Callithrix jacchus: one gene and its partner. The protein of the gene in region 2 interacts with the protein of the main gene of each other region in a biochemical or structural test. Links are inferred from orthologs where the notes say so. Each region holds a gene or a part of one and is shown on either strand. Other genes may lie near its edges.

Evidence for each region.
Region 1: the proteins of COX4I2 (region 2) and CYCS form a complex in vitro, tested with the Homo sapiens proteins (4 studies listed by BioGRID). The link is inferred for Callithrix jacchus from reciprocal best matches to the Homo sapiens genes COX4I2 and CYCS.

What each region holds. Positions count from the first base shown.
Region 1 is NC_133512.1:32,935,875-32,940,268, forward strand, and holds the start of CYCS (cytochrome c), read left to right. Parts: upstream 1-1,426; 5' UTR 1,427-1,484; intron 1,485-3,137; 5' UTR 3,138-3,145; coding exon 3,146-3,314; intron 3,315-3,421; coding exon 3,422-3,570; 3' UTR 3,571-4,394. UniProt on the Homo sapiens protein: Electron carrier protein. The oxidized form of the cytochrome c heme group can accept an electron from the heme group of the cytochrome c1 subunit of cytochrome reductase.
Region 2 is NC_133506.1:7,562,501-7,566,915, forward strand, and holds the start of COX4I2 (cytochrome c oxidase subunit 4 isoform 2, mitochondrial), read right to left. Parts: upstream 2,873-4,415; 5' UTR 2,776-2,872; intron 2,489-2,775; exon of another isoform or gene 2,430-2,488; intron 1,367-2,429; coding exon 1,285-1,366; intron 1-1,284. UniProt on the Homo sapiens protein: Component of the cytochrome c oxidase, the last enzyme in the mitochondrial electron transport chain which drives oxidative phosphorylation.

The DNA of each region.
Region 1 (4,394 bases), on a different chromosome or scaffold from region 2:
TCTGTCGCCCAGGCTGGAGTGCAGTGGCACGATCTCAACTCACTGCAATCTCTTCCTGTCGGGTTCAAGCGATTCTCCCGTCTCAGCCTCAGCCTCGTGAATAGCTGGGATTACAGGTGCGTGCCACCATGCCCGGCTAATTGTTGTATTTTTAGTAGAAACGAGGTTTCGTCATATTGCCAGGCTGGTCTCAAACTCCTGATCTCAGGTGATTAGCCCGCCTCGGCCTCCCAGAGTCCTGGGATTACAGGTGTGAATCACCTTGTCCGGCCAATGAATACGACTGAATACGGCAGTGTCAGATAGAATACAAGGCGAGGGAGTGGAGGGGAGAGAATACAAGAAAGGATGAAAATTAATCAGAACATGGGGCTAGAATTTGAGGAGTAAAGGTGTCAAAAAAAAAAAAAAAAAAAAAAACCAGTGACAGAACTGAGCATGTCAGGAAGGGGATCTAGTTTTAAATTATAATAACTAAAAGCTGTGGTATTAACGCCTTTATTTCTAATAAGACCTCATGCATAAGCTTACTTGAACATGACATTTACCTAGGTCAGAAGGGATGCAAATCCTCTAGATTTCCAAGAATTCTCTAATCATCTAAACATGTTTCTTCTTAGATGGTGCCAACACACCTTCCATGTTCTTTCTGCACACGAACGTGAGGGGGAGGAGGGCGCTGGCAGAAAAGTTGCCGACAGGTAAGGGGCCAGAGATATAATTGTCTCTACCGCAAATGCAGCACCTTCCCCATTCTTGGGGCGTCCAACAAGCGGAGAGCTAGAAGATGACTGAAAGTAACACAGTAGAGGTGGAACTAGAACAAGGTCACGAGCAAGTGCCCAACTCGTCTAACTCCTGGTTCCAGGCTGTGCCTCTGGGATGCTGTTGGCGCCAGCAGTGTTAGTATGACAGAGCCTGGGTAAAGGTCGTCTGCTGACGAGACGGTAGCTAGGAGACCTCTAGGTGAGCCAGAATTAGGGCGTCTTCTCCTGGACGTGCGGAACGCCCTGCCCAAACAAAGCTCATTACATCACCAGGCCTGTTACTTTAGCAGGGTAACGCGCCAAACCACCACCGACTCCGCCCCACCCTCCCCGCCCCTCTAGTATACGCAAGCGCACAAAGACCTGCGAGTGACGTCACCCCTCCCGGCACCACCGCGACGTCGTTTGACCAAAGGCCTGTCGTAACGGCCCGGCAAGAGAGGCCTGGAGAGGAAGGGCACGCACGCCGCACAGCCTACCCTGCTCGCTGGTATGCGCGCGCAGATCCTTGGCGCAAGCATTGGCACTGGAGCCAATGAAGCGCGGCAACGTCACTGCGTAGCCGCAAGCTCGGCTGTACGTCAGGGCGCGGGAGGGCGGAGCGAGTTTGGTTGCACTTACACTGGTACTTAGGCGCGGACCGGCGTGTCCTTGGACTTAGAGAGTGGGACGTCCGGCTTCTGAGTGGTAGTCTTTGTTGCGCTAACCACGAAAAAGGTGAGAGCGGGTCGCGGAAGCCGCATCTGGTTAGAAGCAGAGCTGTGGGGGGCACGTATTCGCGAGGATACGCGGGGAGCCTTCGAGGGGAGCCCGCGCGGGGTGGGAAGGCCGGACGTGAGGACCCTAGACTATGGTCAAACGAGAGCCAGGCGATCAACCGCTTGAGGTAGGGCGGAAGCCCAACTAAGGTCTCGGTCAGTTACTGGAGACGGCAAGACGCGTCCTCTTCCGTCGTGGTTGTTGAAGGGCTATGGAAACGATAGGCCAGACTTCCCTCCCTTAAAACCGAAGCGTAGCGTTTCATTTTCTGCTTCAGAGGGCAAAAGCTGTTGCTCCTCTAATAAGGGGTTGTTCTTTTCGTGGGCACATGTTTGTTCTTTCAATCGTTGCGGCGTCCTAGAAACGTGGGTTTCATCAGTCACCTTGAAACCGACCTGGATGGGTGACCTCGTGGTCACCTCGGGGGGATCACCGGTAAGAGAGTTGGGGATTTCTTGGGGACACCGTGCAGCCTACTCCTGCGCTCCAATTCACGCAGGAGTAGTGTCAAGCTACTCTTGTGCCCTGGGCAGGTAGAAACAATCAGAACCGTTTATTTTATTTTTAATTTATTTTTGAAGACGGAGTCTCGCTCCGTCACCCAGGCTGAAGTGCAGTAGCACGATCTCGGCTCACTGCAACTTCCGCCTCCCGGGTTCAAGCAATTCTCCTGCTTCGCCCTCCCTAGTACCTGGGACTACCGGTTTCCACCACCACGCCCGGCTTTTTTTTTTTTTTTTTTTTTTTCTTTCTTATGGAGTTTCGCTCTTCTTACCCAGCCTAGAGTGCAATGGCGCGATCTCGGCTCACTGCAACCTCCGCCTCCTGGGTTCAGGCAATTCTCCTGCCTCAGCCTTCCGAGTAGCTGGGACTACAGGCGCGCGCCACCATGCCCAGCTAAGTTTTTTGTATTTTTAGTAGAGACGGGGTTTCACCTTGTTGACCAGGATGGTCTCAATCTCTTGGCCTCCCAGAGTGCTGGGATTATAGGCATGAGCCACCGCGCCCGGCTTTTTTTTTTTTTTGTATTTTAGTAGAGACAGAATTTCACCATGTTAGCCAGGGTGGTTTCGTTCTCCTGACCTGGTGATGACAACCCACCCCTCCAAGCCTCCCAAAGTGCTGGGATTATAGGCGTGAGCCACCGCGCCGGGACCCAGGACCGATTTTTAAACATTTGTGCTTTGCATTATCCTCAGGGAGAGGTGGCTTTACATTGTAGTACGATTAAATGATTAGACCTTCTTAAAAGTTGCAGTTGTGGTGATTTTCACTTAATGTTCGCTGTTCTGCTTCGTATCTGTGACTGTTTGTGATCATGACCTTATCTTCTGAAACTGAAGTTTGAATTACGTTCCCATTTGCTTGCTTGGGTTTTAACCTTCCTTCACGTATACACACAAAAACAGGTTTTTAAGGAGGTGCTCCTAAAAAATGTTTTTGGTATGAAAGAGTATTGGGTATAAAAAGTATTAAAGCAAAAGAAGATTCATCTTAGTATTTAATGACATAAATTATCAATGGATTGGTAATTAAGTGACTAGAGTGGTCATTAGTTTACACTGTATTTGTTACCTGAAGAAAAATTATTGTTGGGTCTTTCGTTTTTAGAATTCAATATGGGTGATGTTGAGAAAGGCAAGAGGATTTTTATTCAGAAGTGTTCCCAATGTCACACGGTGGAAAAGGGAGGCAAGCACAAGACTGGGCCTAATCTCCATGGTATCTTTGGGCGGAAGACAGGTCAGGCCTCTGGATTCACTTACACTGAAGCCAATAAAAACAAAGGTAAGAGGAGAACACTTGTTAAATAAAACAGCACAAAACGCATGAACGTAACCTGTGGCAAACTCCGGAGTGTGAAATACTTAATGGATGCATTCTTTATCATTTAGGCATCATCTGGGGAGAGGATACACTGATGGAATATTTGGAGAATCCCAAGAAGTATATCCCTGGAACAAAAATGATCTTTGTCGGCATTAAGAAGAAGGGAGAAAGGGAAGACTTAATAGCTTATCTCAAAAAAGCTACTAATGAGTAATAATTGGCCACTGCCTTATTTATTACAAAACAAATGTCTCATGACTTTTTTATGTGTACCGTACTTTAATAGATCTCATACACCAGAATTTACATCATGAATGACTGACAGAATATTTTGTTGGGCAGTCCTGATTTAAGACTAAGACTGGCTTGTGGTTAAATGAATATGTTCAGTTTTTGGATTTTAATAGTAATTCCAATTTAGTAAATTCTGTCACACCCACCCCTTCTAAAGATATGATTAGACTTCATTAGTAATGTTAAAACTTTTCGCAAAGATGGTGAGTGCCATCTTAAAACTTACTGGAGATTGGTTTTATATTTAGATTTATATGACTGGTTATGTGAATATATTTAAATATGGGGGCAATTCCTTCACAGTCTCAGAACCAAGCAAGATTCACCTGTGTTTTGTGTTCGTTTGCCTCTTAAAGGCAAGGTTGAAGATAAACGGGTAGCAATGGCTATTTTATATTTTTGGCCTTAACTATGCCAATCTAATTAGAGTACCCTGTATTTAAAATGGTTCCTTTTACTTACTGAAAGGCATTTTGTGTGGTTTATGTGTAATATAAAAAATTATTTAACACTTCACACATTTTATAGATGATCTATAAGGTCACATGCTTTTAAAATAGTAGCCAATTAAACTTCACTCTTGGATTCTTTACAATCTAAGTCAAACTAAGTTATAATTTAGGATTGTCTTTAAAAACAGCCATTCAGAAACAAAACTGTATAACTGCTGTGTATTTGTGATTGGGAATGGTGCTTTTGCCAACCTCTAAAGGATTAAAGTAGAAGAGATATACACAAATTTAA
Region 2 (4,415 bases):
GTAATCCCAGCTACTCGGGAGGCTGAGGCAGGAGAATTGCCTGAACCCAGGAGGCGGAGCTTGCGGTGAGCCGAGATTGGGCCATTGCACTCCAGCCTGGGTAACAAGAGCAAAACTCCGTCTTAAAAAAAAAAAAAAAAAAAAGAATACACTTAAAAGGCTTCCTGAGGCCGAGTGCGGTGACCCACACCTGTAATCTCAGCACTTTGGGAGGCCGAGGCTGGCAGATCATGAGGTCAGGAGATAGAGACCATCCTGGCTAACATGGCGAAACCCTCTCTCTACTAAAAAAATACAAAAATATTAGCCAGGCATGGTGGCATGCTCCTATAGTCCCAGCTACTTGAGAGGCTGAGGCAGAAAAATCACTTGAACCCAGGAGGCCGAGGTTGCAGTGAGCCGAGATTGCACCTGCACACTCCAGCCTGGATGACCAAGAGAGACCCTGTCTCAAAACAAACAAACAAACAAAAAGGCTTCCTTCGGTGCCTGGCACACAGCAGATGCTCAGTAAATCATTCTGTTTAATGGAGGTTGGTTTTACTACTGGTCTCCACTTCTGGAAGCTCTCCATGACGGCTCTGCCCTCAAACGCTCCCTATGGGTGCCCAGAATATGGCTGGACATTAGGCTCGGTCTCAACAAAGCTTCTCTTCACAGCAGAGGTGCCCACAAGGAGGGCACTGGTACCCCCTTAATGGGAGAGTGTTGGAGCTGCCTAGGGCAAGGAATCCTGCCTCTTCTAATATTCAGATCTTTGGGCCTGAGTTTCTTCATCCACGAAAGGGAGATAACACCACGTCCACCTCACATGATCGTTGTGAAGTCCATACGTTAATCCACATAAAATGTTTAGCATAGCTCGGGGTACTAGTAAGGGCTCAGTGACAAAATTATCTTTTTTATTCTCCACCAGTCAGCAAGGCCCTTCTGCTCTCTGGCTGAAGTCTCTCCTGCTTCAGGTCTGTTTCTTCTGACTAGCATTGAAGCTAGGGTCTGGGTAGGAGGAGCCAGGGTTGGCATCCTTCACCTCAGGGCACAAGGCCTAGGGGCCTGAGTCAGGGGCTGGCTCCTAAGGAAGCTTGGCATGGAGACGGGCACTGTCGGCTTACCCGTGGGCTCCATTTCCTGGAGAAATTTGGCCTTGGACCAAGGAATGGGATCATGGGAAGTGTGGTAGGGACAGGCCCAGGGTGGCATGGAAGGGCAAAGGGGACAGCCTGCAGAGGGGAGCCCTGCCCCTAGCTCTGGAGTTAGGCTGAGAGGCAGGAGTCCAGGTCTCACCCGGGGCTTCTGGGCTGTGCATCTCTCGTCTTCCACGTCCACCTTTCCTCAGCATCAAGCTCCAAGCAGCTCTGGAGAGCATCTGGGGGCACGGAGGTATAGATGAGCTCTGTCCCCATATTACCCTTGGCCCCCACACCGCAGGGCCAGATGGAGAAACCCTTTCCACTGGTATGGTAGTGGCAGGGGTCCCAGGGTTTCAAGGTTACCCTCATGCCCTTGACCCTTCTCATTCTGTCTGATAGCCCTGGGGATGGGGTGGTCAATGTGGGTCCTAGACCTTTGGAACCCCTTCTTGGGACCTCAATTCACCATCTGAGAAGTGGGAGGAGGCCTAACTCTTGGGGCAGGGTCTCAGGCATGTGAGGCTGAGGGCTTGGGTTCTGGTGCCAGCCCCAGCTCAGTCTGGCCAGATTGGAGAATCCCCCTGAGTTATTTGCTTCCCAGACGAAACTGGGTGGGGGGCCAGGTGGAGAGGGAGCAGGTCCTGAGGCTCTCTTCCCCGCAGGGCCATCTGCAGAGGCTCTAGCACCAGCAGGACAGATAGACGCCCCACCCCTTCCCCCCTAATTGGGTGCCTACGTGCACATAGAGCCTGCTCTGCTGGATCTGTTGGTTGGAGGGGGGCGCGGGGGGCTGAGCTCAGCCAGACTGGCTCAACCCAGTGCCCCAGCCCCAGGGAAGACTCGGGGTTTGGCAACCATGTAGGTGGGGAGGGGCTTTAGAGGACGGGGACTTAACTGGGTCAGAGGGAGGGAAACACACACCTGGGGAGAAGGGGGTCCCACATCTAGGGAGAGAGAGGGGCACTCAATAAACAGAGTGGGGGAGGGGGCACACCACAGGTGATAAGTGGGAGGAGGCAGTCCGCACTTCTGGGAAGGAGGGGCTCTGGCCAGTGATTATGATGAGTGGGTGGGAGAGCCCCACATAGCGAGAGAGGGAGGGTGTAATCTGTATTTGGGGAAAGAGGTGGCACTCATAAGCAGAGGATAACTCCCAAGGAGTCCTCAGCTCCCACCTGCAAGAAGCCCTCCTATGACAGAGACCACTCGGGGCATGACCCCGCGGCGAGGGCAGGAGACCGAGCCACGACTCCAACCCGCGCAGGCTTGGGTAACGGGGTCCACCCCCAGCTCACTCACCTCGCCGGCTCCGCAGCAGTAATGCGACCTGGGTCTGCCCAGCGAGCGACGGAGAACCCGCTCCGGAGGGACCTGAGCGCGGGCGCCCGCCCCCGGCCCGCCCCACAGCCTTTCCCAGAGCCGCCCCCGCGTGGGAACGTCCTGCTTCAGCCGGGCGTGGGAGCGCCCAGCTTGCGTCCCTGGGGGCACCTCGGCTTACAGCGTTGGGGGAAGGACTGCAGAGCGACTCCTGAATCAGCGTCCCTACCCCTGGGGGTCCTGCCTCTGGAGACCCTCTGCAGACAGTAGTCGCATGAACAGGGTGTCCCTGCCTCCTCCACCCACCCCTCCTTGCAGTTTCTCCCACCTGGGATGTTCTCTTCAGGCCTCTGCAGACTCAAATCTTGCCAACCTTCCAGCCAGGCGCAAGGCCTCCTACTCCAGAAGCATCTATTAGGCAGGTCGCGGTGGCTTACACCACCCAGCACTTTGGGAGGCAGAGGTGGGTGGATCACCTGAGGTCAGGAGTTTGAGACGAGCCTGGCCAGAATGGTGAAACCCCATCTCTACTAAAAATACAAAAGTTGGCAGGGCGCAGTGGCTTACGCCTGTAATCCCAGCAATTTGGGAGGCTGAGGTGGGCAGATCAGGAGGTCAGGAATTTGAGACCACCCTGACCAACATGGTGAAACCCTGTCTCTACTAAAAATACAAAAAATTAGCCAGGCATGGTGGCAGATGCCTGTAATCCCAGCTACTCGGGAGGCTGAGGCAGGAGAATGGCTTGAACCTGGAAGGCAGAGGTTGCGGTGAGCCGAGATCACGCCACTGCACTCCAGCCTGGGCAACGGAGTGAGACTCTCTTGTTCTCAAAAAAACAAAAGAAGAAGAAGAAGCATCTATTAATATTTCAAGCACCCGGGAGCTGGCCTGGGGTGTGCTACCTCTACCTTGCCCCTACACCCAGTGACAGGTAGTGAAAAAGCCTGTCTCTGGGGTTTTAATCTTAGCTGTGTGACTTTCAACAAATGGCCTAACCTCTCTGAGCTCCTCTTACCTTTCCCGTGAAAGGAAGCTCATGATAGTTCCTACTTAACAAGCTGTGATCAAGACTGTCAGTTAATAGACAAGACTCGGCCGAGACCCACCATTGCACTCCAGCCTGGGCAACAAGAGCAAAAATTCCATCTCAAAATAACAACAAAAGAGAGGCCATCTTGGCCAGCATGCCATGCATGGTTAGAGGGGAGGCTGGATGGAGGGAGAGGTGGGCTGGACCACCAAAAAGGACCTATAGGCCTGGTGAGGAGCTTGGATTTTATTCTAAAGGTGATTAAGCTGGCATGGTGGCACACCCCTGTAGCTACTCAGAAGGCTGGGGTGGGAGGTAGAGGTTGCAGTGAGCTGAGATCGCACCACTGCACTCCAACCTGGGCGACAGAGTGAGACCCTGTCTCAATCAATCAATCAATCAATAGGGCCAGGTGCAGTGGCTCTTACCTGTAATCCCAGCACTTTGGGAGGCCAAGGTGGGTCTCAGAGATCGAGACCATCCTGACCAACTTGGTGCAACCCCATCTCCACTAAAAATACAAAAAAATTAGCCGGGCATGGTGGTAGGCCTCTGTGGTCCCAGCTACTCGGGAGGCTGAAGCAAAAGAATCCCTGAACCAGGGAGGCAAAGGTTGCAGTGAGCTGAGATTGAGCCACTGCACTCCAGCCTGCATGACAGAGCGAGACTCTGCTCAAAAAAATAAAATAAAAAGAAGGTGGGAGGCAATCAAAGAAGAGGAGTGATGTGTTCCAATGAAGCAGAGCATGAGTTCAGTAAATGTGGCCTGAAACTGTTAGTATACAGATGGTGGACGAATGGGTGAGGGCTGGAAGTCCCCTCGGTGGCCTGAAGACCAAAGCTTTCCAGGTCTCCTGGCTCTGGGACCATGAGGTATGCCCAGCCCTCATGCCTTCCATCAGGGTTCCTACAGGCTAGTGAGGCCATAGGGGCCT